Linked DNA regions of Elephas maximus indicus. The protein of the gene in region 3 purifies or fractionates together with the protein of the main gene of each other region. This does not show direct contact. Links are inferred from orthologs where the notes say so. Each region holds a gene or a part of one and is shown on either strand. Other genes may lie near its edges.

Evidence for each region. The genes of interacting proteins can lie anywhere in the genome.
Region 1: the proteins of FYN (region 3) and CDC37 purify together in Homo sapiens (affinity purification with mass spectrometry; 5 studies listed by BioGRID and IntAct, counting the BioPlex papers as one, with this or other methods). This does not show direct contact. The link is inferred for Elephas maximus indicus from reciprocal best matches to the Homo sapiens genes FYN and CDC37.
Region 2: the proteins of FYN (region 3) and HSP90AB1 purify together in Homo sapiens (affinity purification with mass spectrometry; 4 studies listed by BioGRID and IntAct, with this or other methods). This does not show direct contact. The link is inferred for Elephas maximus indicus from reciprocal best matches to the Homo sapiens genes FYN and HSP90AB1.

The regions. Positions count from the first base shown.
Region 1 is NC_064821.1:28,499,688-28,507,415, forward strand, and holds the start of CDC37 (hsp90 co-chaperone Cdc37), read right to left. Parts: upstream 3,039-7,728; 5' UTR 2,937-3,038; coding exon 2,835-2,936; intron 1-2,834. UniProt on the Homo sapiens protein: Co-chaperone that binds to numerous kinases and promotes their interaction with the Hsp90 complex, resulting in stabilization and promotion of their activity. Inhibits HSP90AA1 ATPase activity.
Region 2 is NC_064819.1:108,806,409-108,814,344, reverse strand, and holds the start of HSP90AB1 (heat shock protein HSP 90-beta), read right to left. Parts: upstream 3,039-7,936; 5' UTR 2,926-3,038; intron 1,509-2,925; coding exon 1,362-1,508; intron 739-1,361; coding exon 532-738; intron 422-531; coding exon 262-421; intron 104-261; coding exon 1-103. UniProt on the Homo sapiens protein: Molecular chaperone that promotes the maturation, structural maintenance and proper regulation of specific target proteins involved for instance in cell cycle control and signal transduction. Undergoes a functional cycle linked to its ATPase activity.
Region 3 is NC_064819.1:177,871,774-177,879,513, forward strand, and holds the start of FYN (tyrosine-protein kinase Fyn), read right to left. Parts: upstream 3,016-7,740; 5' UTR 2,925-3,015; intron 1-2,924. UniProt on the Homo sapiens protein: Non-receptor tyrosine-protein kinase that plays a role in many biological processes including regulation of cell growth and survival, cell adhesion, integrin-mediated signaling, cytoskeletal remodeling, cell motility, immune response and axon guidance.

The DNA.
Region 1 (7,728 bases), on a different chromosome or scaffold from region 3:
GCAGGCCAGGAGCCACGGCAGCTGGAATCACTGCCCTCTTGCCTTACAGATGGGGAAACCTAGGCCACCGAACCTCACTGCTGAACAGCTTACTAGATGGAGCCACAAAAAACCAGGAACAGTGGCTGTCTCTGGGCAAGGGAACTGGGGAGCTGGGCTAGGAAGCAAGACTCATTTGTCCTCTTATCCCTACTAGAAGCTTTGGAATTTTTCACCACGACCATGAATTACCTAAATATTAACAATGACAATAGCTAACGTTTATAGAAAGATTATGTACTAGATACTATCCACAAAACACTACAGACATTAAGTAGTATATTTCTCACAACACTACAAAATTGATATTATTAATATTCCCAGCTGGGGAAACTGAGACAGCTTGTCAGTGGTGCAGAAGGAGCTGGGCTAGTCAAAAGGCACCAGGCTACCTTTTAACTAAGCCTACCTCCTTTTCTGGAACACTGCCTCCCAGGCCCTGAGCCCGGTTGTTTTCAAACCTAATCTCTTTCATTCCGACAATTTCATAAAGACAGGGCCATATTATCCCTATTTCACAGGGACTCATGGATGGGGCCTATGAACCTCACTTCACACGGAGAGAGGTGGGAAACGGTGGGGCTGGGATCAGAATCCAAGCTTGCCTGTCCATGAACCTGGTGCTGGAAACACCCAGGCCACCGCCTCCACTACAGCCACAGGGCCTTTAAGAGAAGGAAAGGGGCGGGGCTCTCAGCGGCCAGACAGGAAAAGGCTGTGGGCCAGGGAGGAGGGTGTGGCTGGAAGAGGACACTGCAGGAAAGGGGGCATCGCCCAGACACCCTGCCCTTGGCACTTGGCACTGGGGAGCCGGGCATGGGGATGGGGACCAAATCACCTCTACACAGTAGTAAAGATTAACTCTTTTATAGACAGAAATAGGTATTCCCAAGAACATTCTTTAGAGCTTTGTGAAGGTCTTAAATATTTCATAACAAAATGTTACACACAGCAAGAAACAGAGGTGCTAGAACCTTCCTCCCATATACGAGTGGCTTGCCCAGCAGGTACATTACCCAGGAGACTGCTGTTTTAAGGAATGGGAGGCTCAAAGTTGAACTGGGGACCAGATACAGGAGCCAGTGTAGGGTCCCATAAGGATGGGGAAGTGCCCTTTGAGGATTTTCTGGATAAATGACTGGGAAGTGCCATATAGGAGGAGGTGGAGAACTCCTAGCCAGCATAAGCCCTCAGTTTGAGAGTATAACGGGCATAGGTGTGGGGGGTACAGGAGTTCTGATTTGGGGGAGCAGAGGATCAGACCATTAGATTTTATGAGAGTCATCCTATTGGCCCATGAGCACTACCAGTCAAGGACGGGGTGGCAGGTCACAGGTCACACAGACTTGGGATTCTGAGCTCTGGATCTGGGAGTTCTCTTGTGGGAGTCCCTGGGTGGTGCAAACAGTTAACGTGCTTGGCTGCTAACCCAAAGGTTGGAGGTTCCAGTCCACCCAGCGGCACCTCAGAAGAAAAGCCTGGCAATCTACTTCTGAAAAATCAGCCACTGAAAACCCTGTGGAGCACAGTTCTACTCTGACACACATGGGGTTGCCAAGAGTCGGAGTCAACTCGATCGATGGCAACTGGTACTTGTGTTGTGGGAAGACAGATAAAAGAAGGGGTAGTGAATTTAGAAATCAAATCAGTAGGGTCCCTGGGTGAGTGCAGGACCAATTTGGGCATCAGATAATGGCAGACCAGGCTGCGGGAAAGGGTAAGGCAGGGTGGGTGTTGGGTCCTGGGTTTGGGTTTAGCTGTGGGTTTCCAGTGCTGGCAGAGGTTCACACGGGAGGCCTGTCTTGGAGGTGGGTGATAATGGGGTCTGCAATATTAAACACAGGCAGGGGCTCTGGCTGGGCCGGAAGCCATGGAGACAGGTTTCCCAGTGTAATGGGAAATGAGATCTATAGTATGTGAGGCTGAAGGACAGTCAGAACTGGAAACTCCACAGGATGGAAGCTGGTGACTGAGTCTGGAGTTTCCAAAACCCTGGTCCTAGGCTGAACCGAGGAGTCCCTGGGTGGTGCAAGAAGTTAAGTGCTGGACTAGTAACCAAAAGATTGGCGGTTCAAACTCACTCAGAGGTGCCTTGGAAGTAAGGCCTGGCCATCTGCTTCCGGAAGGTTACAGCCTTGAAAACCCCACCGAGCAGTTCTACTGTGCACGCATGGGGTCGCCATAATTCGAAACAACAACAGGCAAGATGAGGACACTGGTGGATCGCAAATCTCACCTCTAGGGAAGGGGTCCCAGGTGCAGGTTGGGGTCCCAAGCCTAGGAACAGGAATCTGACTAGGAATTCCCATCAAGACCCCTGGAGGTGGATTCCAGACAGGATTAAAGTATTGGGGTTCCAGACCCTAGGATTGGGGGGCCTAGTGGAGTATCCCAGCTCAGAAGTGGGGATCCAAATAGGACCACAAATCACCTAGCTGAATTGAGGATCCAGGCTCTGAGGCAGGGTTCTGAGTGTAAATGGAAGATCGCGGACAGGACTGAGGATATACCCAACGCTTATCTTGGGAACCTAGACTGGGAAAATTGTTCTAGGGGTCAATAGGGAGTCCCACGCAGATCATCAAAGGGGTCTCGGGATCGCAGTAAGACGGACAGGGTCCTGGCGGTACTCAGGGTTCTGGAGTTGAATCGAGGGACCCCGGGAGATAATAAAAATCCGGAGTGTGAGGTGGGAGCACAGGTGTTAAAGGAGAGGTCCCTGGCCCGTACTTGGGGTCAGAATTCTGGAGCCGGGTCCGGGCGAGCGGGGAACCGGGCGGGCGCGTGCACTATACCTGGTGCCGCCAGCGGAAGAGGCTGGCTGTGTCGATGTTGGGGTGCGTCTCGTCTTCATCGTCAGATACTTCGATGTGGTCCCACACGCTGTAGTCCACCATCTTGCCTCAGCGGCCCAGCCCGCTCCGGCTCCCGCGGCGGCGGCGGCTGCAGCGGTGCTGAAGACACGGCCGCGGGGCCCCGCCCCTTCCGCTTCCGCCGGACACGCCCGCCCCCACTCGTGACGTCACATCCCTAGTAACCACGGCGGCGCCACTGGAGACCGAGCACGCCTTAAAGGGCACTGCGCACGTGTTCTGGCTGCGGGGAGTCTCCACTAAGACCCCGCCTCAGCGGGCCCGGGGGCTCCAATGGGCACCTCCTGAGGGCACACGGGAGGGCGCTCCAGCCACGATCTCCTTCATTTTTCGCCGCCCCACGGTGAGCGTTTGCAGCGGCCTCAAAGGGCAGTTGGCAAGAGTAAGGGCGGGGATTGTCCCCTTGGCCACGCCGCATGACGTCAACCTGAGCCCACTGCAGAGAAGGCCCGCCCCCTGCCTCTTGTGAGGGGACACTTAGCCCTGCGCTGGGAAGGGTGTGTGATCTAAGGGGACCTTTCCAATCTGAAGGCGACGTGGCACTGCCCTTAGGGGCTAGTATTTCCTCGGCTCAGACATCGGCCTCCACCTTCCAGGTCTCTTTCCCGCCCCCGTCTTCTGCCTCTCCTGAACGGGGACTCGAACACAGACACACGTCCCACTGGAATCACCCGGGCTCCTCCCCTCCCCCCCGCCTTCCTGGCGCCTGTCTCCACGCGCGGCCACTGAGTGTCGCTAATGTCTAGCCTGGGGCCAATGCTCCTGGCCCCGCGCCGGGCGGAGGAGCGTGGAGAGGCGGATGGGGGGCTTTCCTGGGCGCCGCTGTCTGGGGCCGCTCCTAGCTCCTTCCTTTTCGTCGGGGGCCCCTTCCTTGTCAAGGCTCCAAAGACTCCATTACTCTGAGCTTGGGGGACCCCGGCCGCAACCCACGCTTTGATACCAAGATAAAAGGCCTGGTTACAGCCCTGGGCCAGGATTATCAGATTAAAGGACGCTCGGCTGGGAGCGGATGGGAGGAGCTCTGGCACCCGAGCGAGGGGCACCACTTCCCAGACTCCCTCGAAGTCAGTGATTGGGGGACAGGAGAGAACGGAGGAAAGGTCTCCAGTTTGGGGGGGCAGGGAGTGCCCGGTCCGGGGGAGAGGGAGGGTCCAGACAGACAGACAAAAGCGCCCTCCCGCTGCCGACCTTCCTCCTAGCGGTCCATTCAAGCCCGCGAGTGGGCGGGCGGGGGCGGGGGAGTCCCCCCTCCCCCTCCAGCCCTGGCAGTCCAGCATCTCCGCGGCCGTCACCGCCCGGGGACGCGCGCGCACGTACCCACACACCGGCGGGATTCACAATCGCGCACACACATACACATTCCCTCCCCAGCCCCCCTGCAAGGTAAGCTTCGTGCTGCGAACTGCGGCGGGAAAGGGACCCAGTGCCGCGGACGGTGGGGGCCCGAACGGGGGGGTGTTTCCCCCGCCTCTCTGAAAACCCGGGCACCGCGTCTGCGCTCTGCGGGTTTCGGCCCAGCCGCCCGGCTCCGGGTGTGTGGGGAGGACCCCGGATGCAGGGGATTCCCCGGTAGGCACGGGGCGGGGGGTTCCTCCCCGGCTTTGGAACCTGAAGCTGCCGAGAAACAGAGTCTCAGGCGTCCCAGATCTCTAGAGCTGGCAACAGGGAATAGGCAGCTTCCCCATCAGCGCCAAATATTTCGTAGTCTCCTTCCAGCAAAGCATTTCCAGCCTTGGGGGCTGAGAGAGACAGACCCTTGAATTGCTTTACGCTGTCTTTTGGTCTTACCGCCGCATCAGTGCACCCCCTTGTGTCTCTTGTTTCTGCGGGGTGGGGTGGGAGCTGGGACTACTCCTCTCCGCTACCCCTGCTTCCTCTGCTGCATCCAACAGCCACACACCACTTAGCTGCGGCGGGAACCGAGCAAGTGGCTTTGCTTTCCTGAGCCTCAGTTTCCTCATCTGCGAAGTGGGTAACGACAGACTCATGGAAGTTATTAAGTCATGCATGCCAAGCCTCCCTTTGCTCCATCATTTATTTCTTGGCCTATTCCACACCTATTCCCCCAAGTGCCTACTGTACGCCAGGCCCTTTGGCAAAGGCGTGGGGCTGCAGTAATAAACAGCACCTAGGGGTCCCTGCTTTGCTGACTTTCCAGGCTGATGAGGGAGCAAGATCAGTGTGTAAACAGAGAAATACCCAAGGTGATTCCACACTGTGAAGACTAGAATTCCAGCAGGTGAGGAGAGGGACTGGGGGAGGGCGCACTCAAGATTAAATGAGATTTCTGGCTCATGTCTTCCTCATTCTCTTTGAGCTACAGGAGGGTAGGGCCAGGGCCAGAAGAGTGCCTGACACACAGTAGGTGCTCAATAAATGTTCAGCAAATTAAAGGGGAAATTAGGTTCATAGCATTTTAGATCAGGAAGGGAGCTTATCATGAAACAATCCAACCTCCACCCGGCCACCATTTTACAGATGAGACGATTGAGTCGCTGAGCCCCAGAGAAGGGGAAAGACATAGGCGACACAGCAGGGCAGATGGGGCATTGGTGGTTCAGTGGTAGAATTCTCACCTTCCGTGTGAGAGACTGGGTTCGATTCCCAGCCAATGCACCTCATGTGCAGCCATCACCCGTCTGTCAGTGGAGGCTTGTGTGTTGCTATGACGCTGAACAGGTTTCAGCGGAGGTGCTTCCGGACTAAGATGGACTAGGAAGAAAGGCCAGGCAATCTACTTCTGAAAATCAGCCAATGAAAACCCTATGGATCACAATGATCCAATCGGAAAGTGACCATGGTGATGGCACAGGACCAGGCAGTGTTTTGTCCTGTTGTGCATAGGGTCCCAATGAGTCAGGGCAGACTCAAAGACAGCTAGCAACAATAAATGAATGGTTGTGAACAGCTAGGACAGAAAGGGGTTAGAGAGCAGAATTGAGCACAGGGCACTCCTGGCTCCTGTGATACCCAGCCAGCGCCCACCACTCCCCCCACACCCACACAGACACAGCCCTGCCTTCTTTAATTCAACAAGTATTTATTGAGCACCTATTATATGCCAGGAGCCCTGGTAGTGTAGCGGGTAAGAGCTCGGCTGCTAACCAAAAGGTGGGCAGTTCAAATCCACCAACCACTCCTTGAAAACCATATGGGGGAGTTCTACTCTGTCCTATAGGGTCGCTCTGAGTCGGGACCGACTTGACACCACCTAAGAACAAAAACATTATATGCCAGGTGCTGGGGAACCAAACTCCCTGCCCATGGAGCTGACATTTAATAGAGGAAACAGAAAAGAAACAATATAAACAAATAAATACATAACAAATTGTTATTAGGACCGTGATGGAATAGGGGGCCTGTGACATTTCAAGTGGGATATCCAGGAAGATCTCTTGGAGGGATTAAATTACTCTTCAAACACAACCTCATGCACGCATGCAACCTGTGCACTCAAACCCAGACAAACCTAATGACACTAATACCATACACAGGTCCAAACCAACAGCCTAAGTAAGGGCCTGAGCAGGGATTTGAGCCCAGAACCTGCATTTCTGACCCCTGTGAAATGCTGCTTCCTGCTGTGTCCACATGCTTCTTTCCCTGCCACCCCCAGATGTCAACCTGTCATGTGTGCACGCTACACAACGCAATCTTAGAAAGTTCTGTCTGTCCAGGTATACACAAGTGGCCATGTCCAAAGCCGCACATGAGCACACGTGTCTGGGGCCCCTGATAGTCCTTCCCAGCCCTGCTCCAGCTCCAGGCATGGACCTTGGATAGTTACTGTCCCTCTACAGGCCTGAATGATCAGGGGATACTCAGGGACTTCATCCTCACTACTTTCTCTCTTGTGTGGCCACCCATCCCTGTCTCCTTCTGAGGGCTGTGGGGCTGCCAGGTGACAGGCCCAAGCTGCCCAGCGCTGTCTCCTCTGCCATCTGAACCCCCGCCCCAGCTGGCCTGCTGCCCGGGGAGGGAGGCAGGCTTAGAGGCGCCCCCCGCCTGGGGCATCAGGCCAGTTCACCCTGCCTCCCACTCACGGGCTTATATTGAGCTGATGTCTGCAGATGTCCATATGTGTCCAGTGGCGGCGGGGTGTGCGTCTCTGCTGCTGTCTCCGGCCTGTGAGCCTCCCCTGGACATCCACTCCTCCATGCCTTCCTTCATTCCACAAATCCTTGAGTGTCTACCACGTGCTGTTCCAGGCACTGGGGCAAACAGCCAGAACTGGCGACAGAATTTGCAGGGTCCGGGCAAGATGAAAATGTGGGGCTGGGGCCTGGGTGCCTGCACAGGTTGCACATCATGGAAACAAGAGCTGAGAAGAAAAATCGAGCTGAGGGGTGGGAGGGGTCTACCTCAGAGAAGGCCTCTGGAAGGAAGTGACTTTGAACAGAGACCTGAAGGAGGTGAGGGTACCACCTATTGCATGTCAGCAGTGTTCTAGGCCTTGGAACCCATCAGGGAACAAAACAGACCATCATCCCTGCTTTGTGTCCTAATCAAAGAAGAGACAATAACAATAATATGTTGCATATCTTGTTAGACTGTTATCCGTCTAAAACAAAACATGCAGTATGAAGGGGACCAGAGGAGTAGGAGAACACAGGATTTCTGAGGCTTGTTTCCCATCTGAAGGGAACAACAAGGGCAAAGGCCCTGAGGTGGGAATATGCTTGGAGTGTCTGAGGAACTAACTGTTAGGAGGCTAGTGGGGCTGGAGGAAAATGAGAGGCGGAGGGTGGGAAGAAGTAAGATTTCTGTTAATACGTTGCTATCTCTTGTGTCTGTCTATAGCTCCACATGAATCAAA
Region 2 (7,936 bases), about 69 Mb from region 3:
GAGTGTTTCTTCACTACTTCTTTGACTCGCCTCTCTTCTAAGTACTCTGTCTGGTCTTCTTTAAGGTGCAGAATCACTTTCGTACCCCGACCAATGGGCTCACCTAGAAAAAGAAGTCACGTGGAACTGAACGTAACAGATAAGACCATGTAACTGTACTGTAAGACAAACTGCTTCACGATGTAACAAAATTTCTACTACAGAACACCCGCAAACAATTCTAAGACTTTTAATCTTTAACACAAAATCCACAGTACTTACCGTGGTCAGCACGAACTGTGAAAGAACCCCCAGCAGAAGACTCCCAAGCATACTGCTCATCATCATTGTGTTTCGTAATCACAACCACTTTCTCTGCCACCAAATAGGCAGAATAAAATCCAACACCAAACTGCCCAATCATGGAGATGTCTGCACCAGCCTACCAAAGAGTTAAAAAAAAAAAAAAAAAAAGGCCAGTTTTGAAAGAACTGCAAGCTGAAGAACGTGGATGAATGTAAATGGTGTGTGCCTAGCTAAAATGCTACATACCTGCAGAGCCTCCATAAATGCTTTGGTCCCAGACTTGGCAATGGTTCCCAAATTATTTATGAGATCAGCCTTGGTCATGCCAATGCCTGTGTCCACCAGCGTCAGAGTGCGTTCTTGGGGGTTGGGGATGATGTCGATTTTCAACTCTTTACCACTGTCTAACTTAGAAGGGTCAGTCAGACTCTCATAACGAATCTTGTCCAAGGCCTGAAAATAATACAAGTAACAGCTTTAGAATCTGCTTCCTTAAGCTCCATCTCTTCATCCAAAGAAAACCCTTAGGTTTTCTACTCCCAAACCACCCACTGCCATCAAGTCAATTCGGACTCATACAACCATAGAGTAGAACCGCCCCATATAGGTTTCCAAGGAGCAGCTGGTGGATTCAAACTGCCAGCCTTTTGGTTAGCAGCCACCAAGGCTCCTTTTTACTCCCAAACAGCCCCAATTTCTGATTACCCCTTAAAACAAGGCTAAAAAACCAGTCACTTAGGTAAGTGGTCTCCAAGAAGACCCCCTTCTCCTCCCTTTGAAGCTCAACATGGACCCACAGACAACAAGGTTCATTCCCTTCAACAGGGTACGGTTCACTCCAACAGTTCTTGTGTGCTAACTCACAGTGACCACACAGGACAGAGCAGAACTGCCCCAGTTTCCTAGGCTGTTATTTTTATGGGAACTCTCCAGGTTTCTTCTCCTTCACCAGTAAGCTGGAACTGCCAGCAGCCCAAAGTGCTACCAGGGGTTCCTTCCTTCAATAGATGCCCCAACCAAATGTCAAACTACCCATCTCCCTCTTCTGGAATGCTCGGACTATACCAGAAACTCACATCAGAAGCATTAGAAATCAACTCCCGAAGGAAAATTTCCTTGTTGGAATAAAAAGTATTGATGATGAGAGACATGAGCTGGGCAATCTCTGCCTGGAAAGCAAAGGTCTCCACCTCCTCGTCTCCATGGTGCACCTCCTCAGGCATCTGCAGTAAGAACAATCAGATATTACAAAGGAACAGAATACCCAGTGTTTGCCCTTTCAGTCCCAAACCCCTAAATTCCACCCCGGCCCATGTATCAAGACTAAAAAGTGGTTTAGTTCAAGGGACTTTGGGCTGAGCACTACTCACTGCCAAGAAACTGGAGGCCCTATTCTATTATGATTTTCAGAAAAACCTAGAACATTTCAACAAAACAATTTTTGGGGGGAAGGTAAGTAAAGCACTGCTACTCATTGGCCCAGGAACCTCGTTTTCTAGCACCGTGCTAAAAAACACAGAACACCGGCCCTACCCCAGGTATTTTGAACGCCCAGAGAAAACCCTACTAATACAGGTTCACATATGCAAAGCATTACCGTTTTCGACGTAAAGACTAAAACAACCTGAATACTAAATTAAAACTGAAACAGCACTAATTAAAATTAGTCCTCCATTAAAAATGTCTAATTCCGAAGAATACGGAACCGTCCAGGCACCAAGAATGCTGGCCCACGCGGAAGGGGAAGGCAACATGAGGATCGATGGAGAACCTGTCCATGAAATGCAATTAAATAGGACAAAGAACGAGAAAACAAAAGCTCCAACACGACCCCACAGCTACAAACTAAAACCTAAAACCAGAGCAAACAACTAAGATGGTGGCCGCAGCCCGCCGGACCGACCCTCGTCACTGCCGGACATGCGCCGGCTGCGGCCACGCGAGGAGGGGGCGCCGCCGCACAGCCCGCCTCCGCCCCAGCATCCGGGCACCGGGGCGGGGCGCCTGGCTCCAGAAGCTTCCAGAACAAACCCAGTTCTCGTCAGGGGCGGGAGTGATACAGAACCCATGAATCCTTCAAAGCCCCTCCCCCCCGGAATGCCAGAAAGATCTGGAAACAGGGATGAAACACGGGGGGCCGAATAACGCCGAAAGCGTCCGTGTCCCATCCCACCCCCGCCACGGACCCTCCAAAAAACGGATCTGCTGGACTTGAAGAACACCGAGCAAGTCAGCGAGTGAGGCTGGCTTCACAAGGCTGTGCTGAGTCACCTCAAACGCGCAGACCCACAACCTTAAGGACCCTTGTGCGCCCCGTAGCCACGTCCGGAAGTGTAGGGGCCAACATGGCAGCGTACCGGACCCGCGCGGCCACCACGTGCGGCTGACCACCACTCTAGACCCACACTGCGTCCCACCTCGCCCGGAGCTAGTCGCCAACTAGGGCAAACTCCGCCATCACCCAAACACATAAAAACGGAATGAAACGAAGACAAATTCGAGACCCCTTCCCACTCCTGAGAGAAAAGGAGACTTGTCCCAAGGCCGTTCCCGCACAATACCTGGAACTTGGAAACGCGAAAAGAACAACTCAAAGAAACGCTCGCGGGAGAAAAGCCGGGGAGAAGATCCCAGCCTTACCTTGAATGGGAAGGGTGACAAATACCAACGAGTCCTAGCTAAAGCCCGTGCACAGCTCGCACGATATAAAACCGCGCGGCCGGAGACTCAAGAGACCTGCCTTGCGCCCCCACTCGCTCTATATAAAGCGAAGCACAACCCGGCACCCCGGCCCGGGATCCCTCCGCCTTAAAGGAGGATGCCCGTCAGCACCGCACCTGCAGCCGCCCGCCCACCTGACGTCATGGTCCAACATGGAGTGCTGGGGGGAGATGCGGGGAGGAATAGAAGAAGCCGACTGGCTCCACAGACGCTGGATCACTGCATCAGTAACATCTACTGTGTGTTCACACACGTCTTTTATCGTGTTCACAGTCCGTTCTCTGCAGATAAAGGGCATGACCCCACCAGGATTGGGGGATTGGGAGTGTTTATATAGCATAAATGGTGACCTTAAAAAAAAAATTGAGTAGCCGCTGGCTCTCTCTAGATTTGGGGGGAATATCTGGAAAAGACCACAGTTTTAGGTGTGGGCGGCTAACCACGCCACCTCAGCTCCCAGGCCCAGCCGTCCTCCTGGAACGCTCCACACATCTCAACAAGACGGTGGGGCTTCCTTCCGGGCCTGTGTGGAACGCGAGGCTCAATTTCCGGACAGACCCCTCAACCCCGGCCCACCTGGGAACAGGAAGATGGGCCGGGGTTTGGCTAGGGGGCTGGGCGACGGCTGGGGGGAGGGGCGCTAGCTGGCAAGGGAACTTTTTGCCGGCGCTCGGCGGAAGGAGCGGTGGAGGTACTGCGAACCTTCCAGCAGTTTCTAGGCTGCTCTGGATGGCCCCGCCCCCGCTCGTCCTACCGGTTTCGCCCCTCCCACTGCGGCCGGGGCCGCGTCTCTGCGCCGGTTCTGTGCGGCGCTTCGGTTTTCATCCGAATTAGTGTAGGCGGCCGGAGGCTCAAACCTGCCCATCGGACCAGCGAGACTAGCCTTGTATGGGGGCGGAGGAGTGGAGTGGAGTGGAGCGTAAACGGGGAGATTTACTGACACTTTTTCCCCTACTCTATCAGTCACACAACACATGGGCTGTTGGGGCGGCTCCCGGGGCGGCTCCCCGGGCGCCGACTTCACCGAGCGGCTGGGGACAAAATCGGTACCAAGGACCTTCCCGGGACCTGCTGCCGCCCACGTGCAGGGGGCGCAGGGACTTGCATCCTCCCTACACCAGCACGTAGACGTTTTTTCGAAAGCTGTTTTTTTATTTTTTTTTTTTCCCTTGGGCCTGTGGGCGGTGGGGGGGGGCGGTGGTGGAATCTCCAGGGACCTGTGCAGGGTGACGGAGGTCTCAGAGGCGGCATGAATATGCTGGCCGAAGGACAGCACGCTCCAGACGACCCGAACCAAATTTGTTCCCCTTTGGCTGCAGCACCGGAGCACCAGGCCGTGCGCCTGCCTAGCGAGCTGCTGACGCCAAGCCTCTCCTGCCTCTCTGCCCCTCGTGCTTTCCTCTCCGGCTGGCAAGCTGTTCTGCCTTTTCAAGGCTTCCTGCGGGAAGCCTGCAGGACTCACAGCTCCTCCAGGGGAGAATGGTGACTCCCTGTTGTGTACATGTTCATCATCTCCTTTCCCTGTCTTCTCTGCACCTGGAATATTGGGGAGGGGTTCCCCCACCACCACTTTTCGGTGCTCCCTCACCAGCCCTGGCACCCGGTCTTCCTTCAAATTCTTTGTTCTTTGTTGAATTCCAGAGAACGAAAGACTCCTGCTTTTCTCTTCTTGCCGCGGCACTCTTCCATCCCATAATCTCTGCTGCCACCACACACTTTTTATCTTACCTTGCCGTTCTACGTGCCTTTATAGGATCTATGAGAAGCCTAGGGCCACGAGAAGTCCGATGAGTGTGGGGGTCTCATAGGCCATGCTGTCAGGAATTCTCCAGCATGCTCTGTTTCTGATCAGATCTCTAACCAGAACCTCATATCTCAGCATACCCTTTCTCAGAAATCTGCTCCCCAGTCACAAAGAACATATTCACAACATCTCACAGCCTTGAGGGAGGTAAAAGCAACTCCGCCTTCCATGGACAGGGAAAAGCAGGTTTCAGTGACACCAGAATCACTCAGCTGAGAGCCCTTGTTCCTCCAGCTCTGTCCCTGCTCCAGAAATGGGTTGGGGGGTGCTGTCTCCCCTCTGAGACCCAAGTCCAAAATGGACCAGGAATTACTCCTGTGGATGGGCTTCCCCTGAACTGGACTCCTGCTCTGTCACAATAGGGCCCTCTTCCAGCACTTCCCCAAATGAGAAAATCTCAAACCTTGAGCCAGTGCAGAAATTCCACCTTTTTCAGTGCAAAAATTCCACCTTTTTGTCCAGGAAGTCTGTAAGGATGACCTCTACCTGTGTCCAAGAGCTCTACCCTGGGGATGCAGGGATGTCCACACAGAACAAGGAGCCCCCAATTGAGTGGAGCTGTAGCAGGCCAAGTGTGAGACAGAGGGGTATGGGAGGAGCAGCAGAGGCCCCAACTTAGGCTGGGGAAGGGGGCATGCTTAGGGGTATGGCACAGGTCTACTCCCAGGAGAGGGAGAAGTATGGAAAGGCACAGAGATCCAAGAGAGGGACCAAAACTCAAAAACCCATGAGGTCAATATACCAGGAGGATATAACCATTGTAAATATTTATGCATCCAAGGACAGGGCTCCAAAGTACATAAACTTTAATGGCTTTGAAAAAAGATAGCTCCAAAATAACAGTAGGAGAGTTCAACACACCACTTTCGGAGAAGGACAGAACATCCAGAAAGATGCTCAATAAAGACAGAAGATCTGAATGCCAAAACCAATGGTTATGATTTCACAGGTATATACAGAACGCTCCAACCAGTGGCAGCCAAATATATTTCGTTCCCAACACACATGGAACATTCTCTACCGTAGACTATATATTAGGCCACAGAGCAAGCCTTAATAGAACCTAAAACATCGAAATATTACAAAGCATCTTTTCTGATGATAAAGCAATAAAAGTAGAAATAACAGAACAAGCAAGGAAAAAAATCATAAATGGAAACTGAACAACACCTTGCTCAAAAACTACTGGGTTATAGAAGAAATTAAGGACGAAATATAGAAATTCATAGAATCAAATGAGAATTAAAACACTTCCTATCAGAACTTTTGGGACACAGCAAAAGTGGTGCTCAGAAGTCAATTTATAGTAATAAATGCAGACATACAAAAGGAAAAAAGGGCCAAAATCAAAGAATTATCCCTACAACTCAAACAAATAGCAGCAGAAGAAGACCTCAGGCAGCAGAAGAAAGCAAATAATAAAAATTAGACCAGAATTAAATAGAGAACAGAAAAACAGTTGAAAGAGTTAATGAGACCAAAAGCTAGTTCTTCGAAAAGATCCACAAAATCGATAAACCGTCGGCCAAACTGACAAAAGAAAAACAGGAGATGAAGCAAATAACCCAAATAAGAAATGAGATGGGTGGTGTCACAACAGACCAAACTGAAATTAAAAGAATCATAACAGAATACTATGAAAAATTATACTCTAACAAATTTGAAAACCTAGAGGAAATGGATAAATTCCTAGAAACACACCACTTACCTAAACTAAGAAAAACATAGGTAGAACAACTAAATAAACCTATAACAAAAGAAGAGAGTGAAAAGGTAATTTAAAAAACTCCCATCAAAAAAAAGCCCTGGCCCTGACAGCTTCACTGGAGAATTCTACCAAACTTCCAGAGAAGAGTTAACACCACTACTACTAAAGGTATTTCAGAGCATAGAAAAGGATAGAATACTCCCAAGCTCATCCTATGAAACCAGCATAATCCTGATATCAAAACCAGGTAAAGACACCACAGAAAAAGAAAATTACAGACCAACATCCCTCATGAACTTAGACACAAAAATCCTAAACAAAATTATAGCCAATAGAATCCAACAACATATCAAAAAAATAATTGACCATGACCAAGTGGGATCCATACCAGGTGTGTAGGGATGGTTCAACATTAGAAAAACAATCAATGTAATCCACACGATCTTATTAATTGGTACAGAAAAGGCATTTGAGAAAGACCAACACCCGTTCATGATAAAAACTCTCAGCTAAATAGTAATAGAACCACACGACAACTAAGAGCCCAAGAGACAGAAAGGGCCACATGAACCAGAGACCTACATCATCCTGAGACCAGAAGAACTAGTTGGTGACCGGCCACAATCGATGACTGCCCTGACAGGAACCACAGCAGAGGACCCCTGAGGGAGCAGGAGATCAGTGGGATACAGACCCCAAATTCTCATAAAAAGACCAAACTTAATGGTCTGACTGAGACTAGAGGAATCCCGGCGGCCATGCTCCCCAGACCTTCTGTTGGCACAGGACAGGAACCATCCCCGAAGACAACTCATCAGACATGAAAGGGACTGATCAGCGGGTGGGAGAGAGACACTGATGAAGAGTGAGCTAATTATATCAGGTGGACACTTGAGATTGTGTTGGCAACTCTTGTCTGGAGGGGGGATGGGAGGATAGAGAGAGAGGGAAGCTGGCAAAATTGTCAAGAAAGGAGAGACTGAAAGGGCTGACTCAAGAGGGGGAGAGCAAGTGGGAGTAGGGAGTGAGATGTATGTAAACTTATATGTGACAGACTGATTGGATTTGTAAACGTTCACTTGAAGCTTAATAAAAGTTATTTAAAAAATAAATAGTAATAGAAGAGAGATTCCTCAACATAATAAAGGGCATTTATACAAAGCCAACAGAAACCCATGAAGGAGGCAGGAGGACCCCAGACGACAGGGGTTAGGTCACAGAGGGCTGCAAATGCCATGCTAAGGAGTTCTGATGTTAAAGAGTGAGGGAAGTTACGCGAGGCTGTAAAGATGGGCTTCAGACTACCTGGAGTCTCCTGAATCCTTAATCCCAGCACTATGTGCAACCCTCAATGTTCCTGAAATAGCAAAGGCCCAGCCCAGCCTTCCACTATTGGAGGGTGGCCAGCTAAAACAGGA
Region 3 (7,740 bases):
AAAATACCCATTCTGAACATGAGAAAGAATAAAAGTCTATTGCTTTTGAGCCATTATATTAGGGGGGGCAGTGGGTTTTGGGTTACTTGCTAAATGGAATCCCTGGGTAATGAAAATGGTTAATGTGCTTGACTGCTAATGAAAGGTTGAAGGTTTGATTCCACCCAGAAGTGCCTTGGAAGAAAGGCCTGGTGATCTACTTCTGAAAAACCAGCCATTGAAAATGCTATGGAGCACAGTTCAGCTCTGACACACATGGGGTCACCATGAGTTGGAGTCGACTCAGCGACAACTAGTGGTAGTGATCTGTCAAACCTACTAACATGAGCCTAATTAATATGCAGTGCCTACTTTTTTTTTTTTTTTAACACATACCAAAGACTAATTCACACTAGAAACTACTGAGGTACCACTTGATAAGAGACAAGATAAATAAGGCCAGGTTCCTTTTCACGATGTGCTGACCAAGCAATGGTGGAAACACACACACCAAACATAATGTCTGCTATTGAAGCTTGAAAATAAAATAGTTCGGGGTGGACGGATACAGAGGAGGCACGATAACTTGTTTGGATGATATAAAATACGGAAGGCTTCACAGAAGAGATGACATTTAAGCTGGGCCCTGAAAGTTAAATAGGACTTTGCTAAGCAAGTCAGATGGGGTTGGGGATTTCAGACCCAGGAGAAAGCATGGAGCAAAAACACAGAAAGCAGAGTGTGGTTTTGTTCACACTCAGCCTTATGCAAGAAGTCTCTTTAACTTGGTCAAAAGAGTGTGAGTTTATTGTGCACTGACTCTCCTTCCTGGGTCTGGAATCAAACAAACAACCCTTTGTCTTTATAATACACTCATTAACCCATTGCTTTTTCTAATGTAAAAGTTCCACGATGAATGTCCTTAGAAAATGCAGAAGTAAACGTTTAATGAACCGTAACAGCTCCTTCCTAGTAAAAGTCTTTAAGAATAAACTTGTTCCATTACTTATAACAGTCAAGGAGCCATGTTCCTAGGAGTCAACACGTTCAACCTCAGCTTTGACACTATCCACTAAGCATGAAATAATCACTGGCTTACAAAATGGAACATAAGCCCCCAGATTTATATTACCATTTCCTCTTTAAGAGGAACGTCAAGCAGATGGTTTAGAGTTCAGTCAAAAGATTCTCTATATCCCTGTTCATATCTCACTGTCCCCAAAGCCTTAGATAGTTAACAAACCACTTCCTCTGAAAGTCCGTGGGTCTCTTCATCAGAAATCACAGTACCCATGGGGCAGGGACTGGGTAGAAAGAGAGCACAAAGGGTGGAAAGTATTGCAGTTGCTTGGGGGTGTGAGGAAGGATGTGGGCGTCTGAAGGCTACCCTGAAGCAGGGAAGAGACAGTCTCCAGCAGTCTTCCAAATGCCAATTCAATGCTGTTTTATTAATGTCCCTAGGTACTTATTTAAACCTAATGGTAAACCAGCATCACTGGGCAGACAAGATTCCTTTTCAAAAGACTTCAGCGCAGTGGCCTTAGACTTGGGAGAAGCAGCAAGTCAGGCTGCATCGCTCTTATCAAACACCAATTTAATTTTCTGACTTAGAAACAAAATTCTTCTGCTCCCACGCCAACTTATCGAACCCCAACTCATGGTACCCAATTTCAAAAAAAGAAGGTGGAGCTACCTAGAACACTAAAGCAACTCTTAAAAGACTGCTGTAATCATTTTCTCCTTGAATCTAGGAAACGCTGCAGCTGCCAGTCAACACTGCCGGTCCGTGAACACAGTAAAATGCCCCATGAACACAGCAAAATGCCGGCACCTGCCACCCTGCATCTGGGGCCTTTTATTTTTTGGTAAATGTGGCAGGAAAGACTCTCACAAAGAAGATCAACTGCTTCATCTGAGCGAAAGCGAAGCCCTAGGGAAGAGAAACAAGAAGCATCGGGCCCATCCTTGGGTACTTTGTGTGTCTCTTCTCTGTGCACTGAAAGAGCCCTTTGTGTCACACATACACACACACACCCGGGGAGCCTGTGTGATTTACTGGGGGAGGAGGGACAAGAAGGGTGATTTTATTATCCCTCTTCTCAACGAGTCTTAGCAATTCTCCTCCCTGGACCCAAGCTCGGTGGCCTCTTTCTGGTCCAGTCATCTCCGCCTGTGGCCGCAGAGATAAGAGAAGGGAGGCGACCAAACAAAAAAAACAGCCATCGATCCAGGGAAGCGGAGAGGAAATACAGCGATCGGCGAAGGGAGAAAGAAGCTTGAGGGAACAGCAGGAGTAGGGGGCAGAGAAAGAGGAGGGAAGGCTCCAGCACAGGGGAAGAGGAAGGGTGGGTGGGTGGGTGGGTGGTGGCACAGGAAGAGTGAAGGGGAGGATGGGGGAAGTACAAGGGAGGTGCCAGAAATAGGCAGAAGGATGCGAAGGGGAAGGAGACGGCCGCAGAGGGAGGAGGAGGCCGAGAGGTGGAGTGGGGCAGGGGTGGGGTGGGGTGGGGTGGGGTGGGGAGGGAAGCAGCACGGGGCATCAATTATTAAGTGATTACATCATCGCTGACATTAAAACAACACACACAGCCCTGGTTCCCGCGAGGGGCCCTGAAAGGAGGGCGGGGGCGGAGCCCGAGTCCCGGCCAGCCTCGCCCCCAAGCCAATTCCTATTCTCACTCGGCGCCGGCTCGCGGGCTGGGAAATGGGCCCCCATCCCTGCGCTGCCCCGCGGCGCCCTCCGCAGAGGTGTCCTCCCGCTTGGCCGCGGGAAGTCCCCGAGCACGGCCAGCTCCCCGGCAGCCCGCGGAGAGGCCGGGAGGCGGCGGCGGCCGAGGGACTGCAGCGCGGGGCCCCGCGGCGGGGGGGCGCGGAACCGGGGCGCCGAAGGCCGGGCGGCCCCGCAGCATCCCCACTGCTTCCCGCGCGCATCCTCGGCCGCTTACCTGCGCGGCGCTCAGGCTCCGGAGCCCATTCACATGGTCCTCTCCCCGCCCTCCTCCGGCGCGGCCAAGGCGGCTCCGGCGGCTACTCGGCTGGTCCCGGAGCCGGGGCGCCTTCCGAGAGAGCAGAGGGGCGGCGCCGGGGTTCCCCGGCCCGGCCGCCGGGTCCCTCTGTGGCGCGGGCGGCGGCTTTGTGTGAGCCCGGGAGCCCTCGGTGCGCGGGGAGAAGCGCCGCGCGCCCGGACGGCGGAGGACGCGCGGCTCGGAGAGCAGCCTGGCCTCTGCTCCGAGGCCGGCGGGCGGGCGGGCGGGTCTCGGAGGCCCTCGGCTCGCGGCGACCCCTCCTCCTCTCCCACGGCAGCCCCCTCCCCGCCGGCTCCGCTCCTGACAGATGGCGCAACTGCAAAGACGCACCGCCTGCTCGCAGCTACTCCCGCTGATGCTCGCGCCCCTCCAGCCCGGGAGGGAGGCGAGGAGGGGGCGGGACGCGCCGTGAGAGTGGCAGCCCCCGCTCCCCAATCAAAGGGCCCCTTGAGAGCTGCGGGCGGCGACCATTGGTTCCTGGGGCGGGGGCGGGACCGCAGTGGGTGGGGCGGCCGAGTGGGTACAGCGTTACTGTGGCAGCCGGCATCCTGGCGTGCGTGCCGTTGTGGGGTGTGCGACGGGATGAGAGGTTGGAGGAGTTTTTTGTTTTTAAAGGATTGTGGAGTTGTGAGGTGGTGGGTTAGGGCGGGGAAAGGAGAGGAGGTGTGAGCTGCGGTTTCTGCTTTATGGAAGGTTGCTGATGCCACTGCAGATTAGCATCTTCCATTCCCCCAAACATAGGAACCTGCCTCGAAAATGGGGTGCCATGCCTTTCTGGTGTCTTTTTGTTTAAGGGTCGGAGGATAAAATGCGAAAATGTTAGAGTAGGAAAGCGTTTCTTCTGGTCAAACTGAAAAGAGTACGGAGCAAGGTAGAATTCTACCACAGAAACTGGAAAAGCTGGGAGAACCCTGGAAACGCACACAGCAAATAATAACAACAGTAATAATAAAAACTAAAAAAAAAAAGTTAGGAATTAATATATTTGTCTTCCATTTTCATAGATATACTTACATATTTCTATTTTCAAACAAAAATCTCGAGGAAGTGTTACTGAAACGGGGAGAGAGGGAGGCTGTGACAAAGGAACCCACGATCACAGAGTAGAGATTTGTTTGTACATTTCTTCCCAAAATCATGTTTAATTGTAGCCAGTGGTTGTCTTTGATTTTCCATGGCTTTTTCCCTACACTGAATCTGAGCCTTTGCTCAGGTTTCCCTTGATGAAATAATAGCCGGTGTATAGTATACAGTGGTGGAGTGCATCAGTCTTTATTTCCTATCCAGCTTTTCTATGGCAGGATGTAACTTCATGAAAAGAAACACGTTGGCTTCCTGATTTTCTTCATAGGTAATTCCTGTTTACAGAAAGCTCTGCTTCAAGGCATGCCCAGAATCATTCTCCTTAACGATGTTGGCAAAAACTCTCCCTCCTCTCTCAGCAAAACTAATGCTCTAAGAAATATAAGTGAATCAACTTCTGCTTCTATGCTCAAAATCTATAATATTACCTTTCTTGCCCACTAATTAAAAAAAAAAATCAGTTGTGCTGACTCTTTTCTTTTTTGTACTCAGTAATTTTTTTTTTTTTTTTAAAGTTGCTAACACTTATCGAAGGATCCCCATTGTATGGATGAGGAAACTGAAGAAAAGAGAAGAAACTCAAGGGGATAGATGATACAGAGTGGTTACTACTTTTTGTTTTTGCTTTTTTCTTCTTAAACAAGCAAAAAATAAAACCATGTTTAAATTGTATGCCTGGTAATTCATTCCATACTTCCAAGAAATGGAACCACAGCTAGGTCTAGAAGATTTCCATACAAGAGAATGCCAACCTCATCTAGCCAAGAATTGCGTATCTCAAGAGAAGGGGCTCTTCTTCCTTAGTTCTTAGACTTCCATGACTGTCCTGGATTTATTTAGCCTGGGATTGGAGAGGCAGTTGTCTAGATCAATGTTTCTCAAACTTGAGGGTGCATCAAAATTATCTCAATGGGCTTGTTAAAACACAGATTTCTGGGCTCTATCCACAGAGGGTCTGATAATGTGTGTTTGGAATGGGGCCCAAAAATTTGCACTTCTAACAAGTTCCTGGATGCTGATGCTACTGGTCTGGAGACCACATCTTGAGAACCACCGCCACAGTGGTGTTCTGTCCAGTGAAGTAGCCATATATGTATGGTTAATGAGTACTTGAAATGTACTTGAGTACTTAAAATTTGACTAGTGGAAATTGAGATGTGCTGTAAAAAACACGCTTGACTTCTAACATTTAGCATGAAAAATAAGAATGTAAAATATCTAATAATTTTTATATTGGTTACATGTTAAGATGATGGTAATCTGTTTATACTGTTCTAAAGAAATATATCATTAAAGTTAATTTCACCTGTTTCTTTTATGTTTTTAATATTGCTGCTAGAGAATTTAAAATAACAGATGTAGGTTGCATTCTGTTTCTGTTGGACTGCACTGGTCTAGAGGAATGGAGTTGTTTCTGATTCCAGCTCTATAGTGCTCTGGTGGGAGCACCTTGATAAGCCAAGACACTTAACCCTTCTGAATCTTAGTGTCCTCATACATAAAATCGGTGAAATAGTAATCCTAATCTCACACTAGCCTCATCTATTACAAGAATAATCATTGTTAGGATGTAGTCCTCCTTGGAATTCCACATTAGACTCAATCTATTTTATATGAAATCTGGAGCAGGTGGGGTGTCATGGGTTGAACTGTGTCCCCCCCAAAATATCTGTCAACTTGGCTAAGTCATGATTCCCAGTATTGTATGATTGTCTACCATTTTGTCATCTGATGTGATGTGTTGTAAATCCTATGGCTATGATGTTATGAGATGGATTAGTTGCAGTTATATTGATAAAATCTATAAGATTAGGTAGTATTTTAAGCCAATCTCTTTTGAGATGTAAAAGAAAGAAGCGAGTAGAGAGATATGAGGACCTCATACCATCAAGAAAGCAGCACCTGGAGCACAGCGTGTCCTTTGGACCTGAGGTTCCTGCAGAGAGATGTTCCCAGACCAAAGGAAGACTGATGCATCACAAAGACCTTCCTCCAGAGCCCACAGAGAGAGAAAGCTTTCCCCTGGAGCTGGTGCCCTGAACTCAGACTTCTAGCCTACTGGACTGTGAGAGTATAAACTTTTCTTTGCTAAAGCCATTCGCTTCTGTTTTTTCTGTTATAGCAGCATTAGATGACTAAGACATGGGGCAAGGCAGCTCGTTGTTTATGACTTCTTCAAAAGGACTCAGTCACTTTTTAGCCTCTGCAACTCTAGCAGCTTCTTGATCTAATTAGTGGACGAAAAGAAGAGACAATGAAATTAAAATGATAGATTAACTTGCTCCCATCGAGACTTCATCCTGTTTTTGCAATTCTTTTCTTGCCTATCATTTTATCTGCTGGTCTTCTTAAATGTAGCTTTAAATGGATTTGGCCTCCTCGAGAGAATTTGCTAATGGTCTGAACAAGTGTATCCAAAACCAAACCCTTTGCAGTGGAGTGGATTCCAATCTGTAGTGACCCTATAGGTCAGAGTAGAACTGCCCCATAGGTTCCAAAGGCTGTAATCTTTTCGGAAGCAGACAGCCTCATCTTTCTCCTGTGGAGAGGCTGGTGGGTTCCAGCTACTGACCTTTGCAGTAAACGCTTAACCTATTGCACCACCAGGGCTCTTTGAACAAGTGTATAAACCAAAACCCAAACCCAAGTCCTTTCTGACTCAGCAACCCTATAGGACAGAATAGCAACCCTATAGGACAGAGTAGAATTGCCCCATAGGGTTTCCAAAGAGCAGCTGGTAAATTTGAACTTCTGGCATTTTGGCTAGCAGCAGAGCTCTTGCAACTATATGTTGTTGTTGTTGTTAGGTACCGTGGAGTCAGTTCTGACTTACAGTGACCCTATGTACAACAGAAGGAAACACAACCTGGTCCTGTGCTACCTTCATAATCATTATGCTTGAGCCCATTGTTGCAGCCACTGTGTCAATCCATCTCCTTGAGGGTTTCCTGTTTTTCATTGACCCTCTGCTTTACCAAACTTGATGTCCTTCTCCGGGGACTAGTCCCTCCTGATAACATGTCCAAAGTATATGAGACAAAGTCTTGCCTCCTTGCTTCTAATGAGCATTCTGGCTGTACTTCTTTCAAGACAGATTTGTTCATTCTTCTGGCAGTCCATACCCACCCAACCCAGTGCCATCAGTCCAGGTCCATGGTATATTCAATATTCTTCCCCAACACCATCATTCAAAGGGGTCAGTTCTTCAGTCTGCCTTATTCATTGTCCAGCTTTCACATGCATATGAGGCGATTGAAAACACTAGGTGCTTGGGTCTGGGGCAGCTTAGTTCTTAAAGTGACATCTTTGCTTTTTAACACTTTAAAAGAGGCCTTCTGCAGCAGATTTGCCCAATGCAACGCGTCTTTTGATTTCTTGGCTGCTACTTCCATGGATGTTGATTGTGGATACAAGTAATATGAAATCCTTGGCAACTTCAATTTTTTCTCCATTAATCATGATGTTGCTTATTGGTCCAGTTGTAAGGATTTTTGTTTTCTTTATGTTGAGGTGTAATCCATATTGAAGGGTGTGGTCTTTCATCTTCATCAGTAAGTGCTTCAAATCCTTTTCACTTTCAGCAAACAAGTTTGTGTCATCTGCATATCTCAGGTTATTAAGGAGTCTTCCTCCAGTCCTGATGCCATGTTCT